Linked DNA regions of Struthio camelus. The protein of the gene in region 1 purifies or fractionates together with the protein of each later gene. This does not show direct contact. Links are inferred from orthologs where the notes say so. Each region holds a gene or a part of one and is shown in the gene's direction. Other genes may lie near its edges.

Region 1 (7,807 bases):
TGTGGCGCGTGCTTGTGGATGGCCAGATTATCCAGATTAGCTTATCACTACAAGGAACACCATCCTTTCTGTCTGCTCCCAGCTCCGAGTGATGGAGCTCTTTGTGGCTCTAATAAAACTGTTGTGTGCCTTTGTCCAGTTTCTGGTATCCTTAAACTCTTCAGTGTTGTTCTAATATTTGTCTTTATGCTTTACTTTTCTACAAGTTGCTCAGCATCTGTGTTATAAATGCTGGGTATACATTTTAAAGCAAACGTGCAACAGTGCCAGACAAGCTCTTCTACATGCCCATTCCACGTGCGGATGTGGTGTACGCAGCTTTCCAAGGAAACCATCTAGGTGGAGTCGGTTTTCCTTCACCACTTTTGCATTTGGTAACATGAGAATAGGCAAAATAAATCTGTAGATAAGTCACTTCTCATAAACTTTCCAACAGATTTGTTCTGTCAAGATAAGCCTTTTCTCCTGGATAACGAGCTGTGTTGGATTGCTCTGGCATAACTCTAGCTGCTTGCAGATTAATCGGCTTTATGTGACCTCTGTCTCTGTTGCCTGGTTCCTCATGGGATTTGCTGCCCAGTCATTAGTTTCTGGTAGCAAGAAACCCAGATACCACTCCTCATTTTTTCCCCTCTCCTTGTTTTAAACTCTGGGCCGCTCCTTCTGGTCTGGGCTTGTCAGGGATTTACAGAGATGCTATTTGCTCCCAGCTGCAGGTCTTCACCTGGCAGGGTGTTGAGTTGAAGGAATCTCTTGGGTGCAACTGTAGGTGTCCTAGTACTTAATGCAAGGCATAACATGGTAAAGATTACCCTTTATTTGTGTTAGACACCTAGTATTTTCTCATATTCTGCCACAGGCTTCAATGTTTATTGATTGGGTTTTTAGTTCATGACAATGTAAAAAAATAAATGTTTCTGTTTTACTCCAAGATATGGCTGTGTTTTTTTCCTCCTCAGGTCTATGGTGGAATTTAGAGATAATCATTATCTTGGATTAGCTTAAATTTCACTGCTTTAAACCTGCTGAAGCTCTTTCATACGTTTGCTCAAGTCATAGGAGTAGTTATGGTGTCATTTTGTTCACCTGAGTATTTTCATGCCATGAAGTATTTTCCACATCAAAGCTAGCCTGGCCTAAGTCTTTCAGAAAGAAGCCACTGCCTACTTTTCTTTCTTTATTTATTTATTTTTTTAATTACGGGCATTTTCCAGCATACAAATCAAAGCTTGATAAAAATTCATTAGCAAGTTTAGCTTTACCTGTCCAACTGCTATTACTATGTGGTAATAGGATGTGCAGTCACAAACGGTAAGAATCTTCTATGGCATACAGATGATTGAAATGGCTAAGTGTAATGGTGTATGAGAGGTATGTTCTAAATATAGGACTGAAAAGCAAAAAATCCATGCTTTGGTCCTGTCTTTGATTCCAGCTTTCTCTGGGGTATAAAACGGGGAAAAACATCTTCTGTGTGATATCAGACACAAACATTTGCAAAGCAAACAGTAGTAAGGTCAGGGGATAGAAAGCTTGATCAGAAATGAAAGGGGAAATGTTAATAACACAGCAGAAATGAGTTTACTTCAGGTGACAACTGCTGCACCAATCAGTCAAATCTATTGATCCACTTAAGTGATTTGGGAACACTGGGCATCTCTCTCTGGGTTTTTCCAATGAGTTTTACAAGAATGGTTGTTTCACTTACAAATCAGCATTTAATTATTTGAAAGCTCTTACTGGCTGCTGAGATAATGTCCTAATCCTTTTATGCAAAAAACTCCAATTGCCCCTCCCTTTCCAGGAGGTATCACCTCCACAGAATGAAGCCTATTAATTTACTCATTTTAGGATGTTAGAAAGCCTGGTGGTTTGCAGGTCTGTCAGGCAGTTGTACCTAGCTTTGTTAGAAAGCTGCTTTTTCCTTGAGCTACAGGAGGTAAAAAATCCAGAGGAAATGGAAACTGCAACAAAAAGAAGAAGAAGAAGAAGAAAGGGAGAGAATTTGCAAATAGCCAAACACAAATCCAAAAGAAGGAATAAGTACAGGCTTCTCTGCATGGGTTAGTTTTCATTTGAGTTTCTCCTTTTTCTTTAACAGAATTTTTTTCACTATTCCTCTTATTTTTTATTGGGGGATATGATAGTTTAACGCTGAGAGTATGCTAGTAGAGTGCACAGCATCGCCACAGGCCCTAACAGCAAGGGCTGGATTTTAGTTTGCTTTGGCTGTAGAGCTCTGGGCAACCAGCTTTGATGAACTATGTAGGTGCAAGGAGCTCTGTGCCTCCGTTAGTCTCCATAGGGCCTGTAAACAACTTGGTTCTTTTATTGGCTTCCCAAGCTTGCCTTCTGCTTGCCTTCTCAGCAATAAAATTGCAGGCTTAATAACATTCAATGGTGCGCCTCTGAGATGAGGAATTACCTAGGTATGAATCTGTGCAGCTTATTTAAAGGTGAGGGCTTCTGTGTGTGTTGTTTTAAGCGTATCTTAAAAGTTGGCTTCAGTTAAACTTCATCCTAATTATTTAACCTAAACTGAAGTAAGGCTACTTTAAAACTGTTGAGAGAAAAAAAATTACAAGGCATCAAGTCTGTAGTGGATGAGCCCTTCAGGTACCCTGAAAGCGTGGACCCTTCCTGGGTCCCCTCTTACGGCTTTTCACGTGCCTGGTTTATTTGAGAGTGGTTGCACCTTATGAAACAAAAAGCATAGTCAGCCCAATATCGTTGCCAATGAACGCCTAAGTAAGAGCATAAGAAGAGAGTGAGCTGAAATGACATCTCTATTTGCACCTCAGTGGTTTTTCTGACTTGGGAGGGATTGCACAGCTGTATGTAATGGCTCAGCAGATTTGTAGTTGGTAATCCTTCACGGGCTTCTCCTCCACAAACTTGTCTCGTTCCCCTGGGAGCCCGTTCAAATGTTGAACATCTTGTGGCAAGGAATGCCACAGCTTAACTCTCCATTGGTTAGGAGGACACCTGCTTTGCTGAAACTTGCTCCCTGCCAGCTTCAGCTGCTTTCCACCCTTTCCCTGCTGGTTATACTTTTACAATGCCTTTCATACTCCCTCAGCCAATTCACTTCTGAAACGAAAAGTCTCAGTTTACTTGTTCATTCGATGGCTTTCTTTAAGGTCTCTTTTTCTGCTCGGTTTCTAATGTGTGAAGGCCTCTATCTTGAGAGGAGGGCAAACAATAACTTCAGGTTTGAGTTAGAAGTGAACATGAACTTATTGAACCTGTTTAATTGGAAACTGATACAGACTCCAGTCACTTGCTCTCTTTTGGTTGGTCACATATGTTTCTTTATCAAGTAATCATGACTACACTACATAGATAAGTAGAGTTTGGAAGTTTACTACAAGAACATACACATCAGATTGTGTTTAAATGTTAAAGTGATTCAGGTTTTTTTTTTTTTTTTCCTCCAAGTGAAACCAGCAAACCGTATGATTCACTGATGTCAGTCATGCATACTCATGCCTGTATTCAAGCAAAGCAGACATAGTTAAACTACGAGTGGGAGGAAATGGCTGACTGGCTCAGACAAGTGTGATACTTGGTTCAGAGTGGAAACCAGCTCATTCAGAGCGGGCGCGCACGCATAGGACGTGTGTGCGCTGAACGTTAGGAGAAGAAAGTGGCCCAGGCCCTGAGGTGGATGCTAAGAAGAAAGATCCAGAGTAATTTTGATGGATAGCTATTGTAGGCCCGAAGACTTGGCTCTCTGCGGTTTAGAAAATGTGCTGTAGGAAATAAGGGATCGTTGTAAGCATGAAGAATGGGGAGAATGAGAGTGAAAAGGAAAGGGAGATGGAAATTGTATCTGCAGGAGCCAAGCATGTTAATATAGAGATGTTCATGCACTACTGTACAGACCATGTCTGTAGTTTGTTCTGTAAAGAAAGTGATTCATTAGTTTTCACTCAGGGTGGAGTACTTGGTGCTTTCCTGGATTGCTAAAAAATAAAGTGAAACCATGACTAAAATCTTCCTCTTAAAGGAGAGAGGAGGGAAAAAAAAAGCCAACTGAAATCTTGTGTAAGTAACTAAATCTCTATTCAGAAATGAATTTTTACACTGGGTATGAATAATAAATACATGTCTTTAAATAATGAACAACTTATGCCCACAATCCATCTTTACTTAATCGGATCTCTGTTTACTCCTAATGTATGTTCCAATGCACATTCAGATGTGCTAGTTGCCATTGTCTCCTATTGCTGTTTATCCTCTCAGCATGTGGTTTTCTTCTTAATTCATCAAGACACATTTCTCTGTGTCATGCCAAGCTCTCCTATTCAAAATTATCTGTATTAACCTGTTGGGTCTTCTGTTGTGAAAGTACTGGACTTGCACACAGGAAAAAAAGAGGGATGCTTATCTTCTGATATAGCTAACAGATACCGGCTGGCATCATGTTGGGCCTTACTGCTAAACTGTGGAGGTTTTATCTGCTGCTAGTAAGCTGGAAAGTTAACTTTGTACCATGTATTCTACTAAACCACTGGTCTTGAATATATTCTTCGTATTGTGCCGCTGTAATTTGTATTTGTAAACACATTTTTTACTACCTTTGAGGAAATGTTGATTAAGAAACCAACTACGCAGAGGTGAACTAGAAATCGTGAGGATGCCTCTACCAGGGTTTCCTGGCTGAGCAACCATTTGCCCTGGTGACTTGGTGACTTCCGCTGCGGGCTGCGTGCCGGCTGCCGCACCGCAGCCAGCGGGCCCTTCCCGCCAGCGGCTCCTCCCCACGGCGGCAGCAGCCACCGCCTGAAGAGGTTTCCCAAGGGTCCGACCTACGCGGTGGGGTGCAGGGCGGGGGCGTTCTTTTTGGGGGGGGGGCGGCTTGGGCAACCAGCGCGAACGCAAGCTGGCAGGAAAGGGGTGGCGGCCCTTGCTCGAGGGAGCGCCCCGCCGGCTGTCGCGGCCTCCGCCGACAGCAGCGGGCAACCGCCGCCCCGCCCCGCCCCCCGCCGGGCCCCGCGCCGCCGCAGGACCCCGCCCCGCCGCCGGGGCTGCCCCGCCGAGCGCCTGTCGAGCCGCGGCGCCGCCGCCCAGCTTCTCGCCCGGGTCCACGGCGTCTCCCGCAGCGCCCGGCGCCTCCCGGCTGGTGGCGGCGGCGGCGGCCGGCCGGGCGGCGGCGCGGGGTGTGGCGCGGCGGGGAGGCGGCCGGCGGGGCGGCCCCGGCTCGTTGGGGTCCTGCGCGGCGGCGGGCGGGCGCATCGGTGTCTCCTTCACTTCGCCCTCCAGTGCCAGCGGCTGCAGCAGCGCGGCCTCCTCACGGCGACGCCCGCCCGCGGCCCCGGCCCCGGCCCCGCTCCGCTCCGCCCGCCCGCCCGCCCTAGCCAGGTGCCGGCCTGGGCCGCAGGGGCGGGCGGGCGAGGGGGCGCGGGCGGCGGCGGGGCCCTGCTCGGCGCCCCTCAGTGCCGCCGCCCGGGAGGGCGGCGAGGCGGAGGCCGGGGGGTGGGGGCCGGTTCTCGGCACGTTTCCACGCGCTTCCCTCTGCCTCGGGTGGGCTCCCGCGGGCTGCGCGGCGCCGGCGGTTGCAGGAAGGGCGGCGGGAGGGCGCGCGGGCCGGGCCGGGCCGGGATGCCCAAGATGGCCGCGCCGAGGAGTTCACCTTGCGGCGCCGCGGGCGCCTCGGCCCTGGCCCTGGCGCCGGGCCGGGCGGGCGCTGGGCGCTGGGTGCTGCCGCCGGCGAGGGCGCCCGTCTCCCGCCGCGCCCGGGGGGGGCCGCCCGTTCTCCCCACGCGGTGTCCGGCGGCCCGGGGAGGCCCCGCTCTCCCCCTGCTTTCGGTTTCTGAACACCTAGTTCATCTCTGGATGTTTCGTTTTTTTCCCCCCCTCTCCGTAGATTCTCTAAATTGGCCTAGCCATGACTATTTCTCCAGCATGTCCGCCTCCGAGACGTAAGTAGGGAGACAGTTGAAGCAAGGGTAATGAGTTCTTTAAGCTTTAGTAGTACTAGAAGTTTAAAGGTCAGTGTCATGCCCTATATATATAAATATATATATATATTTTTTTTAACCAAATATATTTTTGAATCTACTTCTCCATGCTGATTGCAATATTGGAATACAATTTTAATGTAGTTATTGCCAAGAATTTTTAAAGCTGCAAGGATATTTATTTCTTTATTTTAAATATGCCCTTCAGCCTGATCTTTAATATCCTGAGGTCTTAAAGTTGTTAGAAATCTGTAGAGAAATTCTTGGAATTCGTTTAGTTACAAGATGTAGAAGAGTTTTGAAATAGTACCTCGAGGGAAAGAGGTGATGTAATAATTCTGACAACGTTTATACGCTTTTTTTTTTTGTTAGATTAATTTTTTTTCTCTAACAGAAGAAGAAATCATTCTTGGAGCTCTTGAATAACAGATGTAATTCAACATTTTTTTTAGGGTTGTGTGAAAAGAGGGATAAAGCAAAGGTCAGGATGAAGATCCCAGTTGAATTAATTACTTTCTATGTTTTTGAAATGAGGAAGAAGATTATCTGATATAGATAGTTGCTGTCACAACAAACTTCTTGTCATTGTATGTTATCTCTATTTTAAGCACTTCTAATCACCTTTTAAGTGAAAGGCAATTCAAAATAGGGTTGAAGAAAGCTATCTCTGATTGTAAGAATTTACAAACCTAGCTAACCTACCAACAGTGGAGGAAATGGGAAAAATTTTTTGCCCTTTTTTAATTTAATAGGCTTTTCTGCTGATGACGTTGGCTTATCAGATATTGTGCAAAGCCAAAATTAACTTACGGCTTGCCCTTTTGTATATTCTGTTCCTGCTAGCATAGGACTAGAACAGCAGTGTGAAAGTTGTTTTAACTCTTTTTTATCACGCATCTTGCACTTGTCTGTAGGCTGGAATGTCAGGCAAACATTTGTCAGTTTCCTTGCAATGGGAAGGATGCTTAACTAGGCCAGATAAAGCAGCACTATCCTTTTGCTCTAGTAATCCTTTCAGTTTAGACACAGATGCCAGTTTACTCACTTCCCAGGACATTGTTGCTTAGCATAAATCTCTTGTCTTTGGTGGTTTGTCTACTCAGATGGGAAACAGTGTTTAAAACGAAAGCAGAAGGCTCATTTATTTTAACTGTCAAAATACGTTTGTGCTAGAGGCTATTACAAAACTTTACAACTAGAAATAGTTTTTCTTCTAGAGATGGTAGTTAAAGGAAAGACCCACTTACTAGAGAAAAATACATAGCTAAACTTTTTCTAAATTACCTAAACTACTAATGAATTATTCAGCTGCTGTATAGCAGAAATGTAGAGTGAGGAAATAGCAGTGTCCCACACTTCCTTGGAATTTGGTCTGAATAACACCTGCTTTTTTATTGCATAAGTAATAGGAAGCGTTTTCTGACTTGTTGCTGAGATTGATAATTGTTCTGCCATAGAATCTTCTCTTCCTGAGGCTTATGTAATTTATTGTAATGTAATAAACTTTGACTTGGGCTACACCATTTTAACCTTTAAGCGCTTTACCTTTTTTTTCAGAGTGGGGCAGGTTTACTTTAACTCCATGCAAAAGCAAACTTGTTTTGTAATCTCCAGCAAGAGCTAGATGTCTTGCTATGGTGACCTGGTTGTAGAGCTTAGAGTGCCTTACTAAAGAATGGTTATTTTTTTAAAGCTAAACTGTAAATGCATAGGTGTAAATGTGTAGGCTAAGCTGGGCTTGGATGGGCCTCTTATGTTTTAGGAAGGTGAGGTGAGGTCCTCTGGAAAACTACAGTAGAAATGTAAAAGATAATGTTAAGACACAAAGTTCCAGAAATTTTTTT
Region 2 (8,180 bases), on another chromosome or scaffold:
CTTTGGAGAGGAAACGGGAGCCGACCTTCGGAGAGCAAAGGCAGGAGGGGAGCAGAGCCCCGAGCTCGCGGCACGAGCCGGCTGCTCCGGCGCCCCGCTGGGTGCCCGCGGGTCCGAGCAGCCCCAGGCTTTGCACCGGTGAGGCTGCCCTTCAATAAAAGGGGGGGGGGGGTTTCCAAAACCCCCCGGGGCAGGCGGATGTTTCCTGCAGTCCCAGAAAGCAGGAACGTGAAGCTGACAGCTCTCCTGCAAACTTGAGGTTTCGGCTTCAGCTCACCCCAAGGCCATCCCCAAAGCTGCCCCGAGGGGAAGCGGCTGGACGTTCAAGGGGTCCAGGGGATCCGGGGCGCCCCTCGGGGGCACCCAAAGGTTGGGTCCTCCCTCGCCCAGCGCCAGCCTCCGCCGAGCTGCCGGCCGGCAATTCCCAGCCGCCGAGAGCCGTCCCAGGAGCCGAGCCGCAGGGCGGTCGGCAGCCAGCTCCAGCCGCCGCGCTCCGCCGCGGAGGAGGAAACTCGGTTAAGCGCAGATAGCGATCTGGCAGCGGCGTTAAGGCCGAGGAGCAGAGCAGCCGCGAGGCAGGTGCTGCGGGGCCCTGTCGCCCTGGAGCATCGCGGCGGGTGCGGGACCCCGGCATGGGGCGCAGGACCCCGGTGCAGGACCCTGGCGTGGGGTGCAGGACCCCGGTGCAGGACCCCAGCGTGGGGTGCAGGACCCTGGCGTGGTGTGCAGGACCCTGGCGTGGGGTGCAGGACCCCGGTGCAGGACCCCAGTGTGGGTGCAGGACTCCAGTGCAGGGTGCAGGACCCTGGCATGGCGTGCAGGACCCTGGTGCGGGGTGCAGGACCCCGGCATGGGATGCAGGACCCCAGCATGGGGCACGGGACCCTGGCACAGGCCTCACGACCCCAGTGTGGGGCACAGGACCCCAGTGCGGGACCCCAGCACAGGGCATGGGACCCCAGCACAGGGCGCAGGACCTCAGTGTGGGTCCCCAGCACGGGGCACAGGTCCCCCACAAGGGGCGCAGGACCCCGATGCAGGACCCCAGCATGGGGTGCAGGACCCCAGCACGGGGCACAGGACCTTGGTGCAGGACCCCAGCATGGTGTGCAGGACCCCGGTGAGGGGCGCAGGACCCCGGTGTGGGGCACAGGCCCCTGGTGCAGGACCCCAGCACGGAGCGCAGGACCCCAGTGCAGGACCCCAGTGCAGGACCCCGGTGCGGGGCACAGGACCCCAGCGCGGGGCACGGGAGCCGCTCAGGGTGGCAGCAAGCCCACGGCTGGGGCTCAGCATCGCGGACCCCAGCACCTTCCAGCCTGGGGCCGTACCCCAAATCTGCCCCAGGGCTAATGGCTCTTGGCCCGGCGGGGGGGCTCCGTTATCCAGGGCGAGCCGGGTAAATTGGCCCAAATGAAAGACAGGCGCAATTTTAAAGCAGATTAATTAAACCGCATTAAGGCCCTGTGTGGACACAGCCGAGAACGCAAGCGGCCTTAATTCGATTTCTCTGACTTGCAAATTGTGGCCGCGAAGCCAGCCGAAATCACATTAAGGCCGTTTGCGCTCTGCACCGTGTCCTCGCAGGGCTTTAACGTAGTTTAACTAATTTGATTTCAGCGCTTGTTCGGATGAACCGGTTTACGCGGCCAGTTCGGGCTCGGTCCCCGAGCGGCCGGCGGAGGTGGGAGCCGTTTCCCGGCGCGGCCGGCGGCCGTGCGGCGACGGAGGAGCCAGCCCGGGTCCTGCGGGGGGGCCGCGAGGATGCTCTCGCTCTGCCGAGAGATGCAGATTTGCTGTGCAAACCACGCACGGTTTTTAGGTGGGGAAAACGGCATTTCTGTGAAAAGCACGTCGTCCGCTTGACGCCCGTTTCGGAACAGATGTATGCTGAAAGGCAGCCTGCGCCGGGAACGCGCTATTCCTGCAAAGCTGAACGAGGAAGGAAAGAAGCTTTTCCGGCCAAGCGAAAACGCATACGCGCTCTCTGCTCCGCGGGTTCCCGGCCCGCGCGGGTCGAGCCCGACCCTCACCAGCCTTTCGGCGGCGATGCTCACGCGGCAGCCGCGCGCAGCAGCTGGTTACGCCGCTCTCGCTGCCCGGCCGCAGGAAGCCACTCGGGAAAATAGCGGCCAAAGGGGTTCGTCGGACGGATGGGGCCAGAGCTGGACGTCGGCAGGACGCCGAGTCAAACAGCCGTTTTTGGGGAGCGCGGCGGCTGGGACGCGCCGGCAGCTCAATGCCCGTCTGCATAGCGGAGCGGCCGGGAAGCGCAGCGCCGGGGTCGCTCCGATTCTCCCCGGTTGGCAAATGCCATGCCATAAATTTTTCCCGGGTGCGCTCAGGGCAGCGCCAGCCCCGCGACGCCGGATTTGGGAGGGCTGGAGAAAAGGAGGCTTTTTGTTCGCGGCGCTGGCCGCCGCGGCCGGAGCGAGCGCCGGCTGCCCGGCCCCGGCCTCACCGCCCCAGGACAAAGAGCCGCTTCTTGCCGCCGAGGCCGGCGCTTGGGTCCGCCGAGGGTTTTTGTCTCGTGGAGGAATGTCGGCTCCGAAACGCGGCCGGCCCCGGCGCTCTGAAATCCCATTGTGAGCGCCCGGAGCGCGGCCGGCCGCTGCTTTTTCAAGGGGTCTTTTGGAGAGGCAGGAGGAGACGGGGGAAACAAGCTGTGATCGAGGCGAAGATGAAAACCTGCCCGGGATTCGTGTGGTCGCTCCCGGCCGGAAAGCGCCGGGGGGGGGATTCGTTTTCTCAGCACCGTCTGCTCCCGGAAAAGCAGCTTCGAGCTGGCCGAAGGGCCGTCGTGAAGGGTTTTTGTGGGGCTCGCGCGTCGCTTCTGCGCCCCGGTTTGGGAGCGACAAGGGGTGATGCCACCCTACTGCTCCGGCCCGCCGCGATTCCACGTCCCCGGGCAGGAATTGGCACTTAACGGTCCCCCGCCACCACCCACCACCCAAATTTCCTTTTTCTTCTGAGCCAGGATCAAGGGTCCTGGGGGAGCAGCCTCCCGCGGGGCGGCAAAGCACGCGGCTGAGCTCCGGGGACGGCGGCGAGGAAGGTGTCGTCCCCCACCGCTCCAGCTCCGTTCGCCCTGCTCCATCACTGGGCGCCCACCTCCGTCCTCGGGCGAAAACACACTAGTTTCGCTCCTCGTCTCGAGGCCGAGCCGGCGCAGCTCGAAACGCGCTTCCGCCTGAGCCTGCGGCTCCGGCCGGGGCTGTCGTGGGGTTGATTTTCCTCCGCTCAACCTGCCCCTGCCACCCCGGCGGGGCGACCCCCCCCCTCCCCGCCGGCTGCGTCCCCTGCCTGGAGCCGGGGACGGTGTCGGCGCCCGGGGACGAGCCGCGGCCCCCCCTGCCCGGCCACAAAGCGATGTGTCAGCGGGCCCCGCCAGCGTCAGGCCTGGCTGAATCACCCTCGGGATATTCCCTGCACAAAAGGCCCTTTTTTCTCCCACCGCCCCGGCCCGGGCAGCGCAGAAAGCACAAGGGCTCCCAAAACCCTCTCCCTGGCGGGTGTCACCGGCTCCCGCCCCAGCGGCGGTGGGAGGAGAGCGGCGGGCGCTGCGCGTCGGCGCGGGAGAGGGGCCGAGACAGTTTCCCGCGGCGCGGGACAGGGGCCGAAGCTGCACAAACGGCGGCAACGAACGGGCCCGCGCCGGCGGCCGCGCGGTGCGGAAGAGGGGCTGAGCCGGGAGGGCTGCAGACCTCCGGCCGCCGCGTCCGCGCAGCCCTGCCGTAGCGACCGTGCCCCGTGTGCGAATCTTACGCGGGAAGGGTGTAAATCCCTGGGTGTTTATAGCCGTGGCTTTATCACCAATTAGGATGTTGTTACGGGATTAGCTGCAAGCGGAGAGACGCCTCCTGGGGCAGCTTCGTCCTTCGGGGACGCGCCGGCGGAAGAGGCACCCGAGCCGGCCCCGGCCCCGGCGGACGTTGTTCCCGTGGCGCAGGCAGAGGCGGATGCTCCCGGGATTTATTCCTCGAGGGAGGCATGCAGCCAAGAGCGGGTTAGGAGCAGCCAAAATTCAGCCTTACGGCACCTAGGGAAGAGGGGTGCCGGGATCTGGCTCCCAAATCATTTTGGATGGGGTCCAAAATTGCCGGGTCCCCAGACACCTTCGCCTCTTCCTCTTCCTCCTGGCTTTCCGCTTCCCAGGGCTGTCGAGGCACAAAAGAGCCGTGCCGGCCGGGTTTGCGAGCTCGCTGCCGCGGCCGTGCCGGGCAAAGCCGGGCCCCGTCCGTCGGCGGAAAGCGGCCGTCGCAGCGCCGGGGCCATCCTCACGTCCCGTCCGCCCCCCGCCACCCCGGGGTGACCCGCCGCTCCCGCAGGGCGTCGGGGAGAAAGCGGGGTTTAAGCAGCGGTTTTCTCTCCCGGGTGCGGCCGTGCCCGCCGGCGCCCGCCGGGGGTAACGAAGTCCCCCGTGCTCAGCGGCGTCGCGTTAAAGGCGAAACCGGCCGGGGGTTTCCAGGCGGGGGAAGGCGGCTGTTTTGGGGTCTGCCTGGGAAGCGGGGGGGGGGTGGGGGGGGTCCCCTCTCTTTTTCCCCCCCCCTCAGCCCGGTTGGCGGAGCCGATGGCAGAGCGCTGCTTCCCTCTAGCGGCCCCCGGCTCCCGCCTCGGCCGCAAGGCGCCTCTGTCCCCCCGCTCCGGCACCCCCGCCCCGTCCGTGGGGAGCCCGGGCTGGACGCTGGCGGCTGCCCGGCCTCTCCCGCTCCAGCGGACTGAGCGTATGGCAGGGGTCTGCCCACAAAGGGCCGGGGTGGGGGGGGGGGCGCAGCCGAGCCGGGGGGCGGCAGCTGCCCTGGGGCTGCCTGAGCCGGTGGCGGGATGCCGGGATCCCCCTTCCCCCCCACCCCGGTTCCCCCATGCGCCAGCCCCGACGTGCGCCCCCTCTACCCCGGCCAGGACTACAGCTCCCAGAACGCCTTGCGCACGGCGGGAGCGCCGGGGCCAATGGAGAGCGGCTTTACACAGCCAGCGAGGCGGAGCGGGGCTCGCCGGGAGTTGTAGGCCTTCCCGCACGGCCTCCCGGGAGCGGGGGCGGCGAAAACTACACTTCCCAGAATGCCGAGGTCCGGAGCGGGCCAATGAGAAGCGGACGTCTTGGCGCGACGCGCAGGCGCGGCGGGTCAGGTGGCCGCGGCTTCATGTGGAGGTCAGGGGCGCTGCGGGAGGGAGAGCGGGCTGGGCCGGGCCGGGGCCGGGCCGGGCGCGGTGGGTCGCCGGGGCCGGGGCCGGGGCCGGGGCCGGGGCCGGGGCCGGGGCCGGGGCGCGGGCGCGGTGGGGCGTGCGAAGGGGCCGAGCGGCGGCCTGCGGGTGTGTGAGGGGGCCTCGGCCCAAGGGGCGCCTGTCCCGGGGGCGGAAGGCCTGGAGGGGGTGGGGGAAGCTCTGTGGGGAGGGATCCAGGGAGGGTGCAGGGGGGCTGGGGGGGAGGGATCCGGGAGGTAAGGGGGCTGGGGGTGCAGGGAGGCCCGGAGGGGGGGGGGTCGGGTCGGGGGTGCAGGTTGGATTTTTTTGGAGGGGGGAGTTAATCCTCGGCTCTGTAGGTGCAGACACAGAGTTGCCTGGGCTCCTCGCTTCATGCACTTTTAACAAGCTTGTGGGGTTTTTGCAGGAGGGACTCGCTAAAGGGGCTAGAACTGGACGTGAGAAATGGCCGCGAAGTTGTTTGAAAGCATCGGGAAGTTTGGCCTGGGGTTAGCTGTCGCAGGTGGAGTTGTCAACTCTGCTCTTTACAATGGTGAGTGGGAGAGGGAGAGTGTTTCCCGTTCATTTTATATCCTTTTTATCCATGTCTTTATTGCTCTGTGCCTTTATTATTAGTGGCATCAGGGGAAAATAGGCATGAGACTCTGCTGTGCTGGTTTATACTGACCTTCTGCATTGGGTAGGCAAGAGGATTGCGGAGTCCCTTCACTAGAAACTGTCAATGAGATGCTCTCCTTGAAAGCAGGCCGAGAGGTCGAGTCGTGGCTGAGTTGTCTCTTTTGCTTTGTTGCTACTAGCAATCTACTTAATTTCACCACTCTCCTGCAGCAAAAGGCCTTAATTAATCCTGACAGACTGTTGATATCTGTCATGGAGAATGTTCTGATGGTGTGCAAGTACAACAGTGAAACCATGCTGTTTCATTCTAGTTGATGCGGGCCACAGAGCTGTTATCTTTGACCGATTCCGTGGAGTCCAGGATACGGTGGTAGGAGAAGGTACCCACTTCCTCATCCCTTGGGTACAGAAACCGATCATTTTTGACTGTCGATCTCGCCCACGTAACATTCCCGTGATCACTGGCAGCAAAGGTAAGTGTTCTCGACCAGGCGACTGTAACAGAGTAGTGTCACTCTGAGTGTGTGCCCACTGTAGCGACCTGCGTGACATTGAGTTCTTTGCCTCAGAGGTGTTCTTTCCCTCTGCCTCAGGTGGCAGAGAGAAGATGCTCAGCAGCTTATCAGCCCTGAGGAGAGAGCAGTGCATCTGAATATCGTGCAAGACTGTGATCCAAGCGCTCTCGTTATATCCTGTGTCTTATTCTGATGTTGCTTTTGGATTTCTTTGTAGTTAGCAGTTGGGTGGATGGGGCACGAGAAGAAGTTTTACTATGGTCGTGACTTCTGTGATCTTTTAACCTTACAGAAAATCACTGAGTAAGGGTTCTGTCTTCTGGACATGGTGGTCCTATGTGTGCTGAGTCCAGTCTGGCACAGAGTCATTGATCTGTCTTTTTAGTTACAGAACAGATTAAGCAACTTCTTGTTGCAGGGTTTTAGTAGGTTGTCCGTTTAAATGCAAAATCTCTGCCTCTGCAGGAGGGCAAATAATTCCCTGCATCAGAAGCAAACTGAAACTTCAGTCTTATCTTTTTAAGAAGGATCTAGATCCCTAGGTGAAAGGGACAGTAAAAATAACTTGTCTCTGCCGGCAAAGAGAAGCCTGAGGGTGTGGTCTTTCCCATTTAGTTACCCTGGAAAGGCCAACTTCAGGACATCTCTTGTCCCCACAGTTTGCCACTAAACTTGTGCTTCTCTCTCTCCCTCCCCCCCCCCCCCCGCTCTGCCCCCAGATCTACAGAACGTGAACATCACGTTGCGTATCTTGTTTAGACCAGTGACCGCCCAGTTACCCCGAATTTTCACAAGTATTGGAGAAGACTATGATGAGCGTGTCCTGCCTTCAATCACAACTGAAATCCTGAAGTCTGTTGTGGTAAGGACAGCACGACAGCTGCTGGGCTCTGCCTGTCACCTTTCTGTCCTTGTTTTTTTTGCAGTGAGATACCTGCTAGCATGTGGAATATCTAATACTCCAGACTAAAGCTTCTCTTTCCACTCTCCAGGCTCCAAAGGGTTATCCAGAAAAGCTGATAATTGTAGTTATGCTGTTTGTTTCTTTGCCGTTCTGACGGCTTGCCTTGACTTAAGGCTCAAGTTGGGTGTAGTCTGGACAGCAAGAGGTTTCTCTGTTACCCGTTCTCAGCTGTTAGCTTCTCCCTTTGGGGGAAACCTCCCCTCCAGCTCACACTTAAATTTGCAATCATTCATTCTTTCTCCTAGTTCTAGTGAACAGGTAGCTTAGTGTTTGCTAGCTTTGGAAGATAAATTGGATTAACTCTGGGGCTTACAGGTGCAAAGACAAACAGAATATGAAAAATCTATTGTTTCTGGAAGCTTTGTTCTCATTTTTGTCCATCCTAATATCAGGCTCGCTTTGATGCTGGAGAATTGATCACTCAGAGAGAGCTGGTCTCAAGGCAAGTGAGTGAAGACCTCACGGAGAGAGCAGCGACCTTCGGCCTCATTCTAGATGATGTGTCCCTGGTAAGAGTTCTCCCTTTTCAGGTTTTCTCTCTCTTCTTGCAGATAAGAGTAGCGGAGAACAGAACCAGTGGATGGCCAAAGGGGGACAGAATTTTAGACGTAGGTGAAATGCTTATTTGTCTGGAGTTGCATGTAATTTAGTGGTTACAGCTCAAGTCAGTATGTCAGGTTTTGTCACTGGCCTTCTGTGACCTTGAGAAAGCCCTTGAAGGCTCAGCTGTACTGTCTTCTTGCTGACCTCACTATTGTAGGTTTCTGTAGTTAAAATAGGGAGCAAATGCTTTCTGTGGATGATGGATCAGTCTGCAAATTGCTTGAGAGCAGCCTGTTGTTCCACAAGTGCTCTGAGACACAGGGGGAAAGTAGGCG

Evidence for each region. The genes of interacting proteins can lie anywhere in the genome.
Region 2: the proteins of VDAC2 (region 1) and PHB1 purify together in Homo sapiens (affinity purification with mass spectrometry; 4 studies listed by BioGRID, with this or other methods). This does not show direct contact. The link is inferred for Struthio camelus from reciprocal best matches to the Homo sapiens genes VDAC2 and PHB1.

What each region holds. Positions count from the first base shown.
Region 1 is NC_090948.1:26,043,472-26,051,278, forward strand, and holds the start of VDAC2 (voltage-dependent anion-selective channel protein 2), read left to right. Parts: upstream 1-4,725; 5' UTR 4,726-4,818; intron 4,819-5,164; exon of another isoform or gene 5,165-5,364; intron 5,365-5,428; exon of another isoform or gene 5,429-5,526; intron 5,527-5,869; 5' UTR 5,870-5,890; coding exon 5,891-5,924; intron 5,925-7,807. UniProt on the Homo sapiens protein: Non-selective voltage-gated ion channel that mediates the transport of anions and cations through the mitochondrion outer membrane and plasma membrane.
Region 2 is NC_090966.1:5,144,069-5,152,248, forward strand, and holds the start of PHB1 (prohibitin 1), read left to right. Parts: upstream 1-5,065; 5' UTR 5,066-5,152; exon of another isoform or gene 5,153-5,211; intron 5,212-5,611; 5' UTR 5,612-5,649; coding exon 5,650-5,737; intron 5,738-6,134; coding exon 6,135-6,296; intron 6,297-7,057; coding exon 7,058-7,200; intron 7,201-7,694; coding exon 7,695-7,811; intron 7,812-8,180.